Linked DNA regions of Arabidopsis thaliana. The protein of the gene in region 1 interacts with the protein of each later gene in a pairwise test. Each region holds a gene or a part of one and is shown on either strand. Other genes may lie near its edges. The genes, in order: AT5G01750, ISA1 and AT4G15730.

Region 1 (4,009 bases):
GCACAAAGTCACCGCAGTTCTTCAGCATTGCCTCCAACAACTATAAGGAAACGAAGATAGTATTCGGAGTCAGCAGCTGCATGTAGTTATAACCGAGAGAAGACAGGTTGGTTAGGAAAAGAAAAAAAGAGTGTACCGTTAAAGTGAGTAATTGAACTCTAGAACTCTTGTGCTGCAATCTTCTCTTCACGGCTTTGATGGCATCTTTGCATTGCCTGCACAAAATTTCAACGTCAGGGTATTTATTGTGAGAACAACATAGGGATATCATCATGATAAGAAAGCAAGATCATTTATTTACCAGCGATTAGAATTGAGAGAATCGCAGATGGCGATGATGATGGTCCAATCAGGAGTGCGGAGAAGCTCGCTCGTGGCTTTGTCCACCGCCACTGTCACTGACGATAGCCTCAACGAAGGAGAAGCAGAGGAGGAGGAGGAAGAAGCACAAGAAGGCCTCATCTCTACAGAAATTCTCGTCGAAAATGCCTTTATTCCACAAGGCGAGTCTAATTAAATTTTATCCCGCCATATATATACATTACATACACAGAGGAGGAGAGATATATTTTTTAAAAAATCAGCTTTCCGACAAATTCGTGCGTCCGTTCAAAAATATGTTCACACTTGGCCATGTCTTCTCAGTAACACCCGGTCCCACTCCTTGAGCAATTACTGCCACGTTGATTATTTTTCTTCGGTCAAACCTCTTGCGAGCAATTAGCAAGTCTGCAAGTGACGACGCTCCGTTTCAATAAATATTTTGCGATTGGCTTGTGTTTGATTTTTCTTTCTTCTTTTTTTTTGCGTTTTTTGTATGTATTAAAGATTGTAGATTTATTTCTCATAAGTGTTTTTTATACTAAAAAATTAGTACGTGAAATGTCTGTCACTAAAATAAATTTTTGTAACGATATGCACGTACAGTTGGCAGGAGATATTAATGAAAAAACAGTTATAAATGTAGTCATTAAACAACAAGGACAGGCACAATGATTTGATTATTTTACAACTGAGATGATCACACAAAGTTTTAACGGTTGATGAATAGCACATTATTGATGGATGGATAATTAAGAAGAAGAGAAGGTGATATCTTCTTCTCTCAGGCGGCGCGGTCTTCGCGGTTGACGTCATCGAGAATGACGACGAGAGAGGCGATGAAGGCATAATCGACGTTTGGATAAACAGTCACCGAGAAGTTGTCTTTTCCCAAGAATACGCTCTGCACCGTGTGCTTCCTGTGCATCTGTCCATCATTCACCATACCATTTTCCTTTTCTATTAGTAAACCGTTTTATTTCTCAAATCTTCCCAATTTCATCAAACATACAATATATGGGCTAAGATAAATGTATCTTTTGATCTAAACCGAAATCAAAAACTACCTAAACCTGTCCATCAAAACCGGATTCTAAAGCAGTAGACCAAAACCAGATTAAAACATTGCTAATTAATGTGTACTGTGTAGAGACATGTGAGATGCATTGATAAATGAGATGGATGGGCCCTTAATGAAGGAAAGAGAGTTAGAGATAGTATACTTGGGCAACAATGGCGTCAGATTCGCCGGCGTAAACAACACAAGAACGCTCGAGCCAACTCCCTTTGACTCTGAAATCACATCTCTTCTCATCTTTGTTGTGTCCCAAAAACACATCGAGTTTGGTCTTTAGCTGAAGCATCGACGATCTTTTCACCGTGTACAGCAGATCACGCTGATCCGTACTCCCTCCTCTAAACACTTGCCACCTGTCATGCATGCTCACCATCTGCAATCATCACGCGACACCAAACAAACTATTACTACTTTATTAATAAAATCCCATCTATACTTGTATACATGTTGTGTGTGTGCTTGCGGCTCTGTTTTTTTAACTAATACTATAAATTGTTGACCTTTTCTCTCAAAGTGACGACCGGAGTACCAGAACCATCCAGCAAGACCCTCTTGTCGTGGAGACCAAACACCGGTTCCTTCACCTTGAACAGCAGGTTTCCGTTGACGTCCGTTATCACGAAATTGCCGTCCGTTAACGACATCATCTTCCGTACGATCGCCATATCTATAGGGTAAGGAGCGCAGTACTTTGGATCCACTACCACTCCTCCGGCTTGTGGAGTCGGAGCTCCCGAGGGGCCACTACCTTGCGGGTATGCGTACACGTACGGCTGCTCCATTCTTCTCTTTCTCCACCGAAATTGATTCACTCTCTCTATTTTTTTCTCTCTGTTTTGCTTTGGTTGAAATTAATGTTTTCTTTTTCTTCTTGGTCTTATTATGCCGTGAAGATAAGTTTCAGGGTCTTCGACTTTATATAAATATACAAAATATCTGTATCGAATATGTTGACTTTTAAAAGTAGACAATCCTACGAGCATAAACTTTTAATTCTAGATAGATTAAAGATTCCAAGATAAAGATTTCCTCTAAGAACAAACCAAAAAAAACAGAAGAGAATTTAGACTATTTAATTATTTCCCGTGTTACACTTTTCTTATTGATGAAGTAGACGAATATATCAAAATGTTGCATTATTGATAAATTAAGGGAGGATACACGGTTGTCAATTGTTTTTAATACGGTCCAAATCTGTGACGACGCGTTTTGTTACCTTAAACACGGAAAAAAAAGAAGATTTTTACTCAACAAACACCGACGTATGGGTCAAATCATATTTTTTTGGATTCTTTTCCATATAATTTACAAATTAGTATTTTTTTCAACCATCGAAGATTTCATACTAATTAATTTCCATGTTGCTACAGAATTGAAATCAAATTTGAAAAGAAAAAAAAACTCCAATTGTGGTCTCCCAAATAACATTTGTTAAAATCTATCAAATGTTCAAATCATTTAAGGGCCCGCCTAACACTCGTTGATATTGAGGCAACTGACTATTTAATATTGTTGCCATTAGTGAAGCCCAGTATATGGCCTAGGGAGATATATTCTAAGCCCACTGACAACATAAGAGCATCGCTCGATTAATCGTTTTCAGATAAACAACTTTCCAATCAAAACTATTCTGCTTTTGTGTTTATCTTGAAGCAAACAAAACTTGCATACATCTAACATATCTGTTGTCTCATTGCTTATGTATAGAGGAGATGTGTTTCCAAACATGTTTGTTGAGACTTCGAACTTTGAAGCAACGCTCTGGTGGAATTGGAGTTTCTTCATGCCTCTTGCTGTGTTGTTCTCTCCAAATTGAATTAATTGCGATTACTAATAGTGATCTAAAAGGAGCTATCGTCATCTACAAAAAAAAAATCTAAAATATAATGATAACTAATAAGCTAAGCTCTTCTTTTTGTTGGAAAGTAAATAATCACGACATGAATGTCATTTTGACATTGAGCTAAACAATATATGTATCGAAAACGGTAATTTACACACTGTATTTTTCAGATTAAATACAAATTATACATTTCAGAGAAGTTATCTGAATATTTATAATCAACTATTTAACATAAAAGAATAATTAGTTCGACTGAAATATCCTTATTATATATGCATACGTTCCGATAACATATTTATAATTGTAAAACTGTTTGAAAAAAAACACTTGAATAGAATAATAGTTTGTAATTGCCAATTAATGTGTTCTAATTCAAATTTTAATTTATTAGACAATTAAAAGAAGAGGGAGATCAGAGAGATAAAACTGAATACCATTTGATAAGGAGCGGTATGACCTTACGAACCTGAAATGTGTGATTCAACAATTAAGATTAACATGTAACTTGGTCTATCTCGCACGCTTGATAGTGTATACGTATAATATGTGTATGTTATTTAAGCCCGTAAAAGAGCGAACAAGGTGGTAACCAGCAAGAGCAAGTATAATCTTAAAAAAATGAACGCATGCTCCACTAATCGATTAAATTACTCATCTTTACTCGGTAATCTTATACATTTATCATATCGTTTGATTATCTCTATTAACCTCATTAATAACTAAAAAAGGGGCAACCAAAAGGGTTTTAGTATTTACCCTTTGCTTGA
Region 2 (7,994 bases), on another chromosome or scaffold:
TCCATGTAAGAGAAGGGGTATGAGAAAATGGTACCAGTGAAAATGCAACAAATCGACTTGTTTCAGACCAATTTGGGATCTCAGGAGCAAGACCATGCCACTGCAGACGCTTTGCTGTTGGGAAATCATTCAAGCCAAGTGATTCACATTCACTACAATACAGTCATAATGGCCATCGATCAGAGGAAACCCGAGAAACAGGGGATTGCAAAAGAAAGAAAACACATAGCAGTAGGTGAAAAGGAAGAAGCATGTCAATTATTGGATTTGAGACTAAGTGAAGCGATCAACTAAGCAATTAAGATCGATAGACTCATGAAAGAAGATTACATACTCACGAAACTTGATAAGAATACGGCAGAATCTGAAGAAGTCAGAATGTGCTTCTTCCTTTTTATCCCACCGAAAATAGTTCATCTGCATCAGAGTTGTGTTAATGTCGGAAAGCTAAGATCGAAAAAATTACTTATAATCACCCTGGAAGCAAAGCATAAGGGGTTTACATAGTTGTCATGGCAATACGTGTTGTTGTTTCCCCCTTTAGTATGGCCATATTCATCTCCCATGTAAATCATTGGGACACCCTGGTGATTAATAGTTCAGAAAGACAGAAAAGGAAAAGGTTAAGCAATACACTAATTTCAATGAAAACCGGAGCATCACAATCTGACAAAGCAGTACCCTTAATACATATTCTTTGCATGACACCATGCCATTACCAGTCACAACTTAACATGTTGCAAAGGCAAACAAACAGTGCATAGTACTTAATTGCTAGTGGATTTAGATTCTCTTGTGGCTTATTAATTTATATTTTGAACTCATGCCCTCTACTCCAGTATCATAGTTCAATGTGCATAACATCAGTGAAACGAGCTTTGAGCAGGAATTAAAATTAAAGAAGCAACAAATGGTTAGCTTTACTTGGGAAACCATGAGGGAAACAAAGAAATTCCGCATCTGTCGTTTCCTTAGTCTCTTCACCGAGATACTCGCAAAGTCTCCCTCCTGCAGCCCAATCAAATGAAGCCTTTTTAGTTTAGGTAAAAGTGCAATAGCCATTTCATTTCAGCTTATAAACATTCTACAAAAAGTCGTATGATATAATATGAGACTGAATTCACATAGCTGATGAAAGAGAAAACAAAGATTAATATCTTACCTCTCCACAGTTCCAGCTGTAATTGTGATTCTCTCCATCATTATTCTCTTCTCCATTTGCCAAGTTATTCTTATTGTTGTAAGTTACTAAATCTGCCAACGTAAAACCATCATGCGCACATATAAAATTGATGCTGTGCCAAGGTTTCCTACCTCCCTGATGCACAGACACAATCAGATATCGATAAGATATACAACCAAAATATGAAGCTTCACAGACAAAACAACCAAGAGAACACCATAAAGATTAGTTATATATCCAGATACCCCAGTATAATAGGAGTTAAATTTACCTGGTACAGATTTGGGCTTCCACAGAGACATTCAGCAAAAGCACCAGAAAAGCCATCGGTGCCTTTTATGAACTGTCTCACAACATCCCGAAACTGAAATGGACAAAAATGTTACTATACCATATCAAATTCACAACGAAGATAGATATCCAGCACAGTGCACACACTAATGGGAACTACCACGAGAACTGAATATTCATTATTGTTGTCTCATGTGTTGTCTATTGGATAGTAAGTTTAAGACTTCCATGTTCATTGCTAATACAGGCTAGTAGGTTACTATACACTTCAGTTAGCTAGTACAGGCAGATCACATAGGCTGTCCCATTTTCAATTGATTAGAGCATATTCTAAGGGTCAGCAGAAAGATGAATAACCACTAATAATTACATCACATTTGGCATGAAACCCTTATACACTGTGACACTTACTCTTCCATATCTCATGTCTCAAACAATTGAAAGAAGCATTTTATCCTCGTAATACATTAACTGACCTTTCCATTCCACTCAGACCAAATACCCCAGTGTGGAAACATGCCAACTTGGTACAGCCCACCCGCATCCCATGCTTCAGCTATTAGCTGTTTGCAAAGAAGCAACATAAACACATAAATATCTCATCGTCAAAGATCTTACATTGGTGAATGTATTTCCATCAAGAAAATGACAACTTTTTAACAATCATCTTTAGATCTGGAGATTATGACATGACTTGAAAAAAAAACACAAAGGAAGCTCTATGCTGAAGTACAACAAGAAGAAATAAAACATGTTGTACGCTAATTAACCTTTTGGTGCCTAATCACATTGGGAGATTTTAAAGTTTGGTCATGGATTGAGATAAAATAGTAGTCATGTAGTCAGCATTTCTCCACTCTAAACAAGGAAAACCGACGCTATCTGAAGGGGACATATCAAGGGAACTAGTTGATCACCTTAACACCGCGGAGTATTGGATCATTACTTATCATGTCAATTACTGGAGGGCAGCTAATAGGAGTACCAGTTGTGAGCAAGTCACCTTCTACATCAGCCCCGTAAACATTGGCTGCATCCCAAAGGCTAACAAGAATAGAACAATAAATATTCCAGAAACACATGGACCAAACAAGCACTCATTTGACGTACTCTAGAACATTTGCACCTGCTGCTCCTTGACATGATTGAACCAAGATCAAAGCGGAAGCCGTCAACATGCATTTCTGTAACCCAATATCTGTTTAAAGAGAGAGAGAGATATCCACATGCTTAGGAAGAGTTAACTGAGGAGAATATCATGAAATACATTAATTTCAGAAATCAACCTAGTGTAAGGTTTCTTTAGTAGTCAGAAAGCAGGTAAACTCAAAATAAAGTATCCAAGAATATGTTGATTACAGTGTATTCTAGATGTAATCATAACAAATTGCCTAAATATATTTATGTCACAAATAAGGCTTAGACATTAGACATAAAAACCAGAGGAATATTAACGAGTAGGACGAGACAATGAGAGTTTGCAAGTACAACAATGAATATAACAGACTTAATTTGACAAACAGCCAAGCAATACGTCTACCCTATTTTGGGATCTACCTCAGGCAATCCAATATGAATTGACGCACCACAGGATGATTGCAGTTGAATGTATTACCACAGCCTGAATAATTATAGAACTCGCCCTGTTAAATTACAAAATATGCATAGATTGATTAATAAAGAATGATATCAGAATCATCAGTAGGAGACTACAAAACTAGAAAACCAAAAGCATTATGGGTGTTGACTTTTATATCATCATTGTTGGGAATGTATTCTACTTTGCTAGTCCTAGAGAAGTTATGTAAAGGCCATGCAGAAATTCCAAAAGAAGGCTCCTACAGGTTTCTGACGCATAATAAGTTACTGGACCGACCAACTACCAGAATTTCCAATCAGCAAAGTGACTTAGTTTATTGAGTGTACTGTATATTTTAATTGGCAAAAGAAAATGAGTCCTATATTTCAGATTCATACACCACAGAACTTTTGCTTGTCTCTTGTTCTCTAAGCAGTGAAACTCGCGAAAAGAAACACATTACTGCTTGATGAGCATTACCTTTGGAGCAAGCATGTAATAGACACTGTTATCAACTCCTCTAAATGAGAAAATGGGCCCTTTTTCATTCCCTTCGGCTGTGTGGTTCAAGACGACATCCATGATTACCTGCTTAAAATCTGTCAAGAACTGCATCCGTAAACCTAACAACAAATATTTCGCTATTTGGAAACTAGTTGATACCTCAATTCCTCGTTTATGTGCCTCCTTAACAAGAATTTTGAATTCATTTATGGCTCGTCCAGCAAAATTGTTAGAGCTTGCTGATGCGTATCTGATCATGGGCGAGAAGAACCCAATGGTAGAGTAACCCCAAAAATTTACCCTGAAATAGCAAGATAGCCAGATTAGACATGCTATATGCAACATTTAACTCAATTCGTGAAAATTATAAAATGGTATGGTTTCATGTAAGAGTGCTTGCTCAATCTATCTATTCCAGATATGTGATATCATCTGTAGGTTGTTTCACCCCTCATTAATCGGAAGAGAAAACAACAATCCTAGATGAAGAATTTCTTGAGATTAATTGATACATGCTAACACTCGCAGACGTTAACGACAAGTGGTTCTACTATTTAGTTTGCTCATCCCAAATGTCACTAAAAAAAACTTACATAGCAAAATCTGTTGTATTATCATTTCAAAGGCATCTGGTCAAATGTCATACCTGTGGTCTCCCAAAATCGTATTGTAGCTGTAATACTCCAGCTCATTAAACTCGTGACATGGCATTAATTCTATACAATTTATCCCAAGCTCCTGTCAATATGTAAACAAATATTACTGTCAATTAGATAAGAGCTATAGCAAATCACACACTATTAAAAGGGACAAAAAAAACTATAAACTCTCTGCTCATTTTGAACAACAAAATGGAAATGGCCTAAATCACCAAAACTCGTCTGAATTAAACAAGGCAGAATCTTTTCAAAATGAGGGCAACTGATAGCCACTCCAAAACACGATTTTGATTATTTTTTGTCTTTTTAAAAAGCATGATGACTTTGTGATAGCATTATGTACGCCATACCACAATGGAAGTTGATAAACTGGGAATATTATTGTCCCACAATGATCAGAAAGGACGAATTCAGTGCTGAACAAATGAATATTTTAACAAAAAATCTACAGATATAGTTAGCAGCATCTCAAAATTTCAGCTAGAGACTACTTAGTAAGCTTGTTCCAAAATGACAGTTCAAAGTTTTCTCAACTGTATATATTTCAGAGCAAGTACCTTCAAATGGTCAAGCTTCTCTGCAACACCCTGGTATGTGCCAGGGAATTCAATTTTACTAGACTCATGCCTTGTAAAACCTCGCACATGCATTTCATATATAACAAGATCTTTCTGTGGAAGCTTCAGATGCATATCCCCTTCCCAATCAAACTGAAGAGTAACAAAGGTCAATAAAATCACTCGCTAAAGAATATCTTTATATCCTCCAATAGCTATTACTAGAGCTTTATAAATATCATTGGTACCTCTTCCTCACGAGTGGGTACCATACACGCCATTTGAGGCCAACAATTATCATCAGGTCCCAAAACTCCAAACTCATCTCTGCTTATAATTGCCTACCAAACCAAAGTAACAAAAGAGATAATCTATGAGACTGTAGTTCAGCTGCTAGAAAAAAGCTTCAATTTTTCAACTACCTTTGCGTAAGGATCCAATAAAATGTTGGAGGAATCATAATAATGACCTTCTTCAGGAGAAAACTTGCCATCAAATCTATAACCATACAACATATCTTTGAAATCTCCTCTCAAGAACACATGCCAAACATGGCCAGTTCTATTCCTTGATGGATCAAGCTGAATCTCCTCCGTCACTTTGTTCTGCAACGTGAAATTTAAACCCAAATTTGAAAAAGGGGTTTCATGAAAATGTCAGTGAAACCCAAAAACAGTTGCTTTGAAGATTGAACCTGACGGAGATCGGAGAGAGAAATCAAGCAGATGGTAGCGGAAACGGAGTTTGTAGAGTAAACAGAGAAATTGACGCCGTCGTCTCTGACGGTGGGTCCGAATGGAGAAGGAAGTCCATCGGAGATAAAAAATCTATCTGATTTAAGAGGTTTCTCTACTACGGCGATATTTTCAGCTTCGTTGCTTCTTCTGTCCTTTGCGGAAATCGAAATCGGACGGAAGAGGGGCTTGAAATTGGGAGCGGAGATTTTAGGAAAGGTGTGATTAGAGAAGAGAGTGTTGAGCTTGGTGTGATGGAGGAAACTGGAACTGCATTTGATTGCATCCATGGAAGCTCGAAGAAGAGAGCTTCTCAAAAGTAGTGAAAGAGAGACGACGAAGTGTGTTCACTCACACTCAAAAGAGTGATCATTTTGATCTTTTTTTTTTACTATTGATAAGTGAAAAAAATAATAAGTTACTGCACGTGGCTAATAAATGGGCTTTAGGGCCGGGCCTTAATTTATATACCCAATAACAATGTTTCATCGAAAGTAATAATGAAAGTATTAATAGGTGACAATTGTTTGTATGCAAATATGATGGAACTAAATTCTATTAGACAAATTCCATGTGCATCCCACAAGCTGTGTTAATCTTTAAATTATTGTACAAATCATAGGAAATTAGGAATTGTAGCTAACAAAACAAATGTTATTGTCACACGTTTCCTAATCGTAAGATTTTTGAAGCTAAATGTATGGTCCCTCGACTCCAAGAGAACATTGGGGACCATAAATAAATCGACAATAACAATGGAAACTACAATATAATTATTTACGAATCTCTGGTTTAAGGAGTGACCATACATGCATGGTGACGCCGGGACCCTTCTTCAGATTCTTCTAAAGTACAAACAAAAATCTAAGTGAATAATAATTATAAGGGTATCGTACGTACAGTTAAATTCTTGTCGTATACGTCACATATAGATGATTGTGATACATATCTTAAACTATAACATTACAAAACACATACAGACATACTGATTAAATTACCAAATTGCTCCATCCATTTAATAAATTTCATTTTCCATGTCTCCGCGAGATTTGAGAAAATCTAAAATAAAACATATTATACAACGAGCTCTTCGGTCTAAGGAGTGGCCAGCCATATTATACATACTGATGACGCGGAGAACCGTTTTACAAATTCTTCAAGTTCAGATATTTAAACCCCTAATGATAATGACTTATTTACTTGTTAACATATATAGGGTTTAAAAAATTGTTGTCGTAAATGCATAAGAGTCAAATACGTACAAATTATGGTTCAATATACTAAAAGTATAATACATAAATTAATATCTTTCTAAACTAATAAAATTTAGCAGTCCCAACATTTTTAATTTATAGAGGTTTTACTGTACACGATTTTCAACCGTATGAGTTGTTATAACATACGATACGAGTAGATGTTTTTCACATCACAAATCTTTCCATCTATATATAGATCCATCTTGCAAGTTTACTTGTAACTAGAATGTTAAAATTACTTTGTCCAACAACATAAAATTCAATAATTCACTTTTGTGTTGACTAATCAATATATATTTGATAATTGTATAATCGAGTAAAGGAATGATGAAACGATCTATCAGCAGCTAAATAAAGAAAAGTTTGGTCTGATTCCTTTTTCTTATGTCTCCGCCAAATTTGGAAAATAAAATAAACTAGTGTAAGATTTTTTAAAAAAAAATTGAAGAGAAGAGAAGTTTATTTGATCGAGTAAAGAAGATAAGCTGAGGCATATCAACTTTGGATCTGATGACACACAAAAAAAAAAAGTCACGTGTAAATGTATTATATGTTCTCTGTTTTCTTGTGACCAAAGAGGCAGATTTTGAACCTTTGGATTTTTTTTCGGATCTTGATCAAAATAAAGATTCGTTTTGGTTTTGAAGCTTCTACAAGGTATGGAAAATATCAAAACAATATCCATAATATCTTCAATATTTTGGAACTTTTTTTTTTCTTTCTTAGTAGTCACTCTTTTGTCTTCTAAAACTATAGATGATGTTTTTATGATCATCGTAAGTGTTTGATTAGACAAGAAGGTGAAAATGTCGGCTTATACGCATCCGATGGAGAGGGAGCTCTCCGGTCTATCCAGCCGAGGCAATTCCGGTATGTACTAATATATTCATTATCTTCTACCATCTGTGTTTAGTTTGATTTATTGCAATGATTTTCTTGAATTTGATAAATCTTCTTGTTTATCTTGCAGAATTGGGGAGTCGGTATTCGATAGAATCTGGATGTTACATGACATCTTTAGCAGCTTCCATCTTCATAGCTTCTCTAGTAACATTTGGAGTTTTGATGATAACACTTCTTATTGCTTTATCAACCATGTTACAAAGCTGTGAGAACCGGAATATTGCAATCGTCGAGGCTCAAAGACTCGATGAGAGTTTCGGTTACTGTAAAATCTTGTCTTTACACTCTCAGCTCAATAGCTTGGATGAAGAAAGTGAATTACCACTGT
Region 3 (7,948 bases), on another chromosome or scaffold:
TTCATATAAATTTTGATTTAAAATAAACTAAAATTAAAATAAAAAACGTGGAAGGGTATGAATGAACAATTTTATTGAGTTAGTGGCATTAGTGATAAAATTCCGACCAATTATATTCAACTGTATTTATATATAGACTAACCAATCTTTAAACTCTGATGCTTGTAGCAGAAACTTCGCACTCACATGCAGCCCTGCTATCACAAGCGACAACCGGACAAATCATTATTGGGGTTTAATTGTGGTTTCAAAAAAGTAAGGTGAAATTGGAAGAAAATAAAAAAAGTTTAGTCTATAGAAAAAACTATTTAAAGTTCAAACTTATGCATTAAAGTTTAATCAATTATAATAAAATAAATTTAGCAAAAGAAAAAAAAAAGCAAGATCAAAATCTTAGATGAAGATAGTAATAAAATATCAAAGAATTAAATTCGTAGAAAGAAAAGAGAATATGAAAGTTATATTAACTCGTAGAAGAAAAAGAGAATATGAAAATTATATTAAATTTGTAGAAGAAAAAGAGTGGTATCATGCAACCAATCTGCACAATTTGCAATCCGAAAATGGATTTGGTAACAACTTACGACTAGCCTTTTTGACATTTGTAAACGTAGTTAATGCACTTAACTACAATACAACCATTTTAAACTAGAATTTTTTTTTTATGATTACACATATATAGAACTGTTTATCCAATTTAGACATGGTCTACAACGAGCTAGAGTTTTATTAGAAACAATTGTATATGTGATATTGACTATAAGTATATGAGTTAAAGATCGGATTAGTGCCCTACTACTGTATATATAGAACTAGATTTTGACTCGCGGTATACCGCGGGGCTAGGTTTTTAATAAAATTTGTTATATAAAATGTATATGTAAATATTTGTTTTATTAATATTGTTTGCTTTGTTTAGTGTTTAAGATAATGTATATATAGATTTTAGTTGTTATATCTAGGATTTCATCCGTAGTATATCGTTTCGTATTATTATCGATCAAAACTCGTCATACCATCTAATCCTGCACATTGAAATTAAACATATCTAATAGATTTCACTTGTGGTATACCGTCTCGTAATACTATCGACCAAACCCGTCCTACCACTAACCCCGTTCAGTAAAATTAGACATTATTTTGTTATTTTTGTTTTAATAATACTTTAGTTTAAAAAATATTAATTCAAATCAATTTAAAAGTTTTTTTTCAAATGGTTATTTAATTATTATAAAGTTTATATATTATAATATTATAAACACGTCCTACCATCTATTCCTACTATCTAATCATGTTCGGTGAAATTATTTTTCTATTTTTTTAATAATATTTTTATTAAAAGATTTATAATTTAAATCAATTTAAAGTTTTCTTTCAAATGGTTATTTAATTTTTAAATATTTTAACCATTTTGGCAAAAATAATTAGGCCATGAAATAAAAGCATATTCTTTTGAATAAGATTTGCTTTGATTTGGTAGTTAATTTTTGCATTTAATAAGTCAGTGGCAGCCATTGTAAATAAGTTCCAATTGCAGGATTTATTTCATAAAATGACTACAAAAATGTATATATAGATTAGATAGTGTTTAGAGTAATACATATAACAAGTTATATTTTATTAAATACATAAATATATACATAATAATTAAAGTGTGGTATCATGCAACCTATTTAGCGAACTTAGGAACAAAATCCACAATTCGTTATTGTCATGAATTCGTATCTCTCATTTCTAAACTGTTAAGCAATATCCGATAAAATCTAAGAAATATAAGGGGCAAAATGTAAATTATTTCTCAAGCATTAATAAATGAGAGATACGAATTATAGAAAAATTAAAGTTGTTTATAATTAATTAATTAATGATTAAACCATAAACGAAAGGAACCCTCCAAAACTAAACACTCTTCAACACATAGCGTCTTGTCTGCAAAAAAAATCGGAGACGCAAAACCAACTTGCCGCCGAATCTTCCTTAAACCCTCAACGCTGCTCTTCGCCGCCGTTGAGACGATCACAGTGATCGAATCTTCCTTTTCAACTTTCTCGTCTTTTGATCAAACGAGTTTGGTTGAGTTTTTGATAAACGTGATTAAGCGATTAATTTCGCGTTTTAACAACAATCTAGATTGTCCTTTGGAGATTGAACAAATTTAGGGTTTTTGGGGATAATCTAAGTGTTTATGATTTGAAACTTTGTGTGTTTTGAGATTGTTTTGGGCAATGTTGGATTTTCGAGACGGTTTGGTGGCGGCAGAGTTAGTGAGTGTTGGGGTTTAGGAAGTAGTAGTAGTTATTAGGGTTTGGAATTGGGTTATGTTTAGGGTTTTACTAGTTTAGAAGATGGGAGAGGATTATGAGCTTGAAGAAGGAGAGATGAATTGTTCTTCTGATGAAGCTGTTGTTGATCTTGACGTTGATCTCTCTTACATTGTGAGTCTCTCTTGTTTGTGATTTTTTTTCTCATTATTAAATGATCTTTTTTGTGTGGTGTTATGTGAAGCCGTTGTTGATCTTTGTGTGATGCTTAATTTCTGATTATGTTTTGGAAGTGTTAAGATCATATGAATAGTACAGTACTCTGTGTTTATAATGCCAATGATGATTAAGTTTTGTGCATCTTAGTTTAGTTGGAGGAGATATACCTTTAATAAGATATTTCAATTGCTATGAATCTTGCTTGTTTCTACTGAGTTTTGAGTTTTAAACAGAGAACTATGTGTCTGTCTTTTGTAGCATATGAAATCTCAATTTTATGTATCTCAATAAAGAATATATAGTGTGGATACTCATTTTTTCTCTGTTTTTGTATCTTTGTGTGTCGAAGTCTTTTTCTTTGCCTGGTGGTTTTATTATATATGTGCTCAAGTTTTGTTGCTTTGTGTATCTAAGGACAAGAAGGTACAGAATGTACTTGGCCACTTGCAAAAAGGTTTCGGAGAGGAAGCCCGGGACCGGTTTGGTAAGTAATATTAAATTGGTGTTAGTGAGATATTTGTTTTGAAATGAAATGTCGTTGTTGAATGATATGGTTGGTCAGGTCCGGAGATCTTTGACTATGGATCATTTTTGCCCACTTACAAACGTTTGCCGGCTGTACCATCATGTCAAAGGAGTTCTCTAGGGAATCATGCTGTACAAAGAATTTCCAACAGTTTACCCGGGAAGGTATGAGAGAAACAATTCTCAATTCCATGTGAGGATAAAAGGAAAATATGGTAGTGAAACTACCTTGTTGTTTTTGTTTGAAGGAATCTGGACCTTTTAGTGATTTTTCTTCCTCAGTGTTTTAAGTAGTTTAATTATGAGTACTTATGAATTATTGTTTGCGCAGAATGTGGTTCAGAAGTTTCAGTCACCCCCTGCTACATCTTGTAAACTAGTAAGAAATCAGGATCCTCAGAACTATCAAACTTCAGGATCTCTTTTGGCTCAAGCTCCAGGAAAAGTTCCCATAAATAAAGGAAATGCAAGAACACCAGCCAATGATTTGCCTCATAATAAGCCGATCAGAGTTCGGATCAAAATGGGTTCTGAAATCTTGTCCCAAAGTGTCGCGATGGTTTGCAAGGATCTTGGTCTCGATGGTTCTCCAAATTCACCACCCCGAATCAGCCAGGATGATAGTAGCAGAATGCTACCGCATACATCTCTAGGGAAGACAAGTGAATCTCCTTCCCGCATTCTTCAGGTATATCATATTTCACATTCTTTCGCTTATACCTTTTTTTGTGTGTGGATTAATTCGTTTGACTTGATGCCACCTTACTTTTAACTTCATGAAACAGGAAATGACTGCCATTTCTGTTCCAGAGGATCTACTGATGTCGCCTCTTCCTGATAGTCTGCTCCTAGTGAAGGATAAGAAGAAGCAATATACTTTATTAGACAATCAACCTATGATTAAGACAGGAAAGAAATCTTCTATTCAGATACAGAACAAGTTCTCGGATGTTTTATGTTGTGAGAAAACTCCAATTGGAAGGAGAAGGAAAGAGGTAGACTGTTTTCATGCCACCACTTGGAATGAGACGAAGAAGCATAAAGTTTTATCCACTGGTCAGCTAGCCAGGGATAACTCAGCTTGTGGTTTAGGTGGGGCAAGTCTTACTACTGATGGGTTTACAACAAAAAGTAACTTGCAGGAAGGTTGTAGAAAAGATGGTGAAAGTGATCCCAGAGTCGCAAATAAAATAAAGTTTGTTGGGTTGCATGCTGTGAAAGAGAAAAAAACATGTCCGACAAAGTTGCAACAGAACCGTAGCAAATATCGTATTGGTGATAAAGTTTTATCAAAGATGCCTTTGAAGGATGCCGCATATATAGGTCACAATAGCATGGACACTGGGTTTGATTTTGCGGTTGCACCTTCTTCCACCAGTGTTGACCTAGATTATTGGGCCCAATGTGAGAGTTGTGAGAAATGGCGGCTACTGCCCTATGACCTGAATACTGAGAAGCTGCCTGATAAGTGGTTGTGTAGCATGCAAACCTGGCTGTAAGTATCTGATTATTTCATATCACCTCGTTTTCTAACATATGTCTTTTCAAGTATTTGTATCTTGTGCTCTTTCCTTGATTCAAGCACTAGCCCTTTTTAGTTGCTATTATAGTTAGTTTGAAATAAGTTTCGTAGTTCGTTATAGGAGAAATCTTTTCGACCATGTGAAGGTCTTGTTCCCTAGAATGGCTGGGTCAAGCGTTAAAGTTATAAAATTGTATTGACAACGCTTCTACTTACTTTCTGGATTTGGTCCTTCAACTTTGTGCAAAACCTCAGGTTATCATATTATCATATCTCCTTATCGTCTCCCTAAAATTCTCTTGTAGGCCTGGAATGAACCACTGTGGCGTCAGCGAGGAAGAGACTACAAACGCAATTAAATCCTTTCATGCTAGTGAGGGTCATGGTCCTGACACTGGTGTTAAACTCCTCTCTGATGTTCGTAATGCTGATAAAATCTACCAACCTTTAACTTCTGGTTCATTGCCTAATCCAATTGAAAAGAAGTCTAACGTAGAAGACTTATCGCAAGGAGTTTCAAGCAACATCCTTGTTGATGCTGCAAAGCCTATGAGAAGTAACCCACATATTTTCAAGAATAAAAACATGAAGCTGCCAGGAGAAACACCTACTGCTACTCAGATATCTGCAGACCTTTCGCACGATTTTTTTCAGGATAAGATTGACCAGAAAGCAAAGAGGAGAGCAGCAGGTCAGTCTTGCCATCTGACAGCTAACTAGTGTACATTTTCGCCGCACTTGGGCTTCTTTTATCAAAACAACTTGTTATTATTGTAGGTGCTGGTTGTCAGATAAAGGTCAAGAAGAAAAAGGAGGCTGACAAAGAAGAAAGTGATGGTTCCAAGCATATCAAGACTGGTGATGGTAACAAACTTGCCAGAGTTATTAAAGCAGAAGAAATACATTGGAATCAAGATCCTAAATGGACTCCAGCAGAGAGAAAAAGAAAACGTCATGACAATGATTTTTGCACTTTGAATGTAGAGCGAGACCCAAAGAAAAGATTACTCGTATCTAAAAAGAAACCTGACCACAAACCTCAACTGATAACTGCTAGTGGTTCCTTGTGTACAAAAGCCCAGGGAAATATCAATAGTACTGTGAGGAAAATAAGGTTGATGGGTTACAAGCAGGGTAAGGATGGGAAAAATTCAAAATTGTTTGCAGATGGTGAGGAAAACGAGCCCTCAATGGAAAAGGCGGTAACAACTAAGATTTCAGTCCATGAATCTAAAGCAAACCAAAGAAATGAATTGTTTCAGGCTGATTGCTTTCAAGAACACCTGAATGGTGATGCCTCATGTAGATATTTCTCTGGTGGAAGTGGGCAGATTTCTGGGATAGAAACATCAAACTCGTCGAAGGTTTTAGGATCACATAAAAGTGGACGAATGTATGTGGAAGAAGTAAAAGCATCCCCTGTGGAATCAGTTTCCTCTTCCCCTGCAAGGTCTTCATGCCCCACGAATGATATACTTCAAGAGGCTGAAAAGCTGAGAAAGCTTGCTGACTGTTTCAAGGTCAGATTTTTATGCCACCTCTAATGTAGTCTGAAGCTTCAAGTTTCATCTGCTAGAAATAAACTAAAGAAACAAATGATGGAACAGTAATATGAATCACTGCTGTCTTTCTTCTGCTAGTTTTGTGTTGGCTATTAATTTTTGGTTGTCTTTCTATCTCAATGAACTCAGAGCTCTGGATTTGAATATGAATACAAGGAGATCAACTTTAAAGCGGCTCTGAGGTTTCTCCTTGGAGCTTCAGTTTTAGAAATGTGCAGTACAGATAATGTGGAAGTGGGGAAGATGAGCCATATTGAGGCTTACCATACTGCTGCAAAACTTTCAGAGTAAGTGAATGCTTGTGATAGCTCATTTCCCATTTCCTTATGACTGAGGAAACTTCTCAGGAATCCGGTGTCTTTCGACTTTAGGTGTTGGTATTTGACAGAATGCTGTTGATTCGCTTATGATTTTGTGCTCATTGAACACTCTGCTTGTTTTTCTCAGAAGTTGTGCCCATCAATATGAAACAAGCCAAGAAATGGCTGCAGCTACTTTGGCTTATAAATGCACAGAAGTGGCTTGCATGAGATTAGTGTATGGCAGAAGTCTAGGTCTGAGTGGAGAATGGAATGAATTGCAAAAAATGGTACAGATGACTCCTCAAGGTACTATTGTATATTTCATCTATGATCATATCAGTTAGTGAACGTTTTTTTCCCGGAAATTTATTTTCAATATGGTCAAGTCAGAATTGTAGTAGTTATCATTGTCTAAAATAGTCCTCAGTTCTTTTGCTCGCGTCAAAATTCTCTCAGAAGATATTTACCTCAGCAGTAGTCAACGTATACCTATTATTTTGGCTTAGTATGTCCACCTTTTCATAGTTTACAGATTTTTTATACTTTATAGGTTTGAAGTATTTTCAGGCAAAACTTATGTTGGAAGTTCCTCAATATCTGGACAAAATTTAGAGAAACATATGCTTGGGATCTGTTTATACGGACAATTTATTTACTGCTGTCCGTTTCAGTAAAGTCACATATTGTTCATTTGAATTGTTACCTCAGGTGAATCACCGTCATCATCTGCATCTGATGTCGATAGTTTCAATCATCAAGGGGTGATTAAGAAGTCTGCTAAAACCAGAAGAGGTCTTTCCCATGTTGCCGGAAACCTTCTCCCTGTTGCTAGAAGCCAACTAAATTTTGTTCCGCTATTGGACTTTGTAAGTTATCCCACCTTCATCAATTATGGCATGATACATTTGGAGTATTTGAAAAAGCGAACTGGGTTGTCTCTTACCTATCATATTTGAGTTTTGAAATCTCAACTAAGATCCTCCTATTGCCTAAACTGTGGAGGTCTTTGTTATCTATCTTCCTGTGCCAAACAAAGCTGATATTCTATATTTATCTAATACAGACAGGGAGCATGAATCTGGCAATGGAGGCCTCAGCAAAATCCCAAAATGCTTTTAAAGCCGTCACTGACACCTCAGAAGAAAGAAAGCATGGAGACTGTATCTCTGCTATCAAAAAAGTTGTCGATTTTAGTTTCCATGATGTTGAAGCGCTTATAAAGATGATTGAGGTTGCCATGGATGCTCTAAGTTCATCAAGATTCGGTGGCCCAAAGTGTTGACTCTATTTTGTATATAGACCCTGGTCCTATAAAGAATAGAATAGTGTTTCATGAACTTCCATAGAAAAATCTTAGTAAGTAGCATAGATTAGGAAAGGAAGACTTGGAGAGAGGACACTAGATAAGGTCTAAGTTTGCTATTTGCAGTAACTCTCAGGGTCCTGTTTCAGGTCTTTCTTCTTTTTGGTGTCTGGGTATTCAATATTAACTAAAGCATATTTATAGAAGAGTAGGAGGATTCTTAGATATAGTCATTTAAAAGATCGGTTAGTGAT

The links.
Region 2: the proteins of AT5G01750 (region 1) and ISA1 interact in a two-hybrid assay, tested with the Arabidopsis thaliana proteins (one large-scale study listed by BioGRID).
Region 3: the proteins of AT5G01750 (region 1) and AT4G15730 interact in a two-hybrid assay, tested with the Arabidopsis thaliana proteins (one large-scale study listed by BioGRID).

Annotation. Positions count from the first base shown.
Region 1 is NC_003076.8:288,206-292,214, reverse strand, and holds AT5G01750 (LURP-one-like protein (DUF567)), read right to left. Parts: upstream 2,494-4,009; 5' UTR 2,182-2,493; coding exon 1,900-2,181; intron 1,773-1,899; coding exon 1,545-1,772; coding exon of another isoform or gene 1,530-1,544; exon of another isoform or gene 1,250-1,529; coding exon 1,106-1,249; 3' UTR 611-1,105; downstream 1-610. Other genes in the region: AT5G01760 (ENTH/VHS/GAT family protein), read right to left, coding at 1-40, 137-215, 302-462. UniProt on the Arabidopsis thaliana protein: Might be related to the phospholipid scramblase and tubby-like superfamily of membrane tethered transcription factors.
Region 2 is NC_003071.7:16,663,881-16,671,874, reverse strand, and holds the start of ISA1 (isoamylase 1), read right to left. Parts: upstream 6,025-7,994; 5' UTR 5,798-6,024; coding exon 5,468-5,797; intron 5,379-5,467; coding exon 5,196-5,378; intron 5,115-5,195; coding exon 5,022-5,114; intron 4,927-5,021; coding exon 4,774-4,926; intron 4,296-4,773; coding exon 4,204-4,295; intron 3,859-4,203; coding exon 3,717-3,858; intron 3,642-3,716; coding exon 3,534-3,641; intron 3,118-3,533; coding exon 3,032-3,117; intron 2,673-3,031; coding exon 2,601-2,672; intron 2,519-2,600; coding exon 2,392-2,518; intron 2,038-2,391; coding exon 1,951-2,037; intron 1,548-1,950; coding exon 1,455-1,547; intron 1,319-1,454; coding exon 1,163-1,318; intron 1,009-1,162; coding exon 925-1,008; coding exon of another isoform or gene 784-924; intron 681-783; exon of another isoform or gene 585-680; coding exon 504-584; exon of another isoform or gene 418-503; coding exon 335-417; coding exon of another isoform or gene 274-334; exon of another isoform or gene 153-273; coding exon 35-152; exon of another isoform or gene 1-34. Other genes in the region: AT2G39920 (HAD superfamily, subfamily IIIB acid phosphatase), read left to right, coding at 7,570-7,633, 7,734-7,994. UniProt on the Arabidopsis thaliana protein: Involved in the trimming of pre-amylopectin chains. Accelerates the crystallization of nascent amylopectin molecules during starch synthesis. ISA1 and ISA2 work exclusively together as a multimeric holoenzyme.
Region 3 is NC_003075.7:8,951,612-8,959,559, reverse strand, and holds the start of AT4G15730 (CW-type Zinc Finger), read left to right. Parts: upstream 1-1,894; 5' UTR 1,895-2,345; coding exon 2,346-2,435; intron 2,436-2,894; coding exon 2,895-2,964; intron 2,965-3,042; coding exon 3,043-3,170; intron 3,171-3,336; coding exon 3,337-3,693; intron 3,694-3,790; coding exon 3,791-4,500; intron 4,501-4,832; coding exon 4,833-5,218; intron 5,219-5,304; coding exon 5,305-6,047; intron 6,048-6,218; coding exon 6,219-6,376; intron 6,377-6,536; coding exon 6,537-6,697; intron 6,698-7,099; coding exon 7,100-7,257; intron 7,258-7,454; coding exon 7,455-7,673; 3' UTR 7,674-7,948.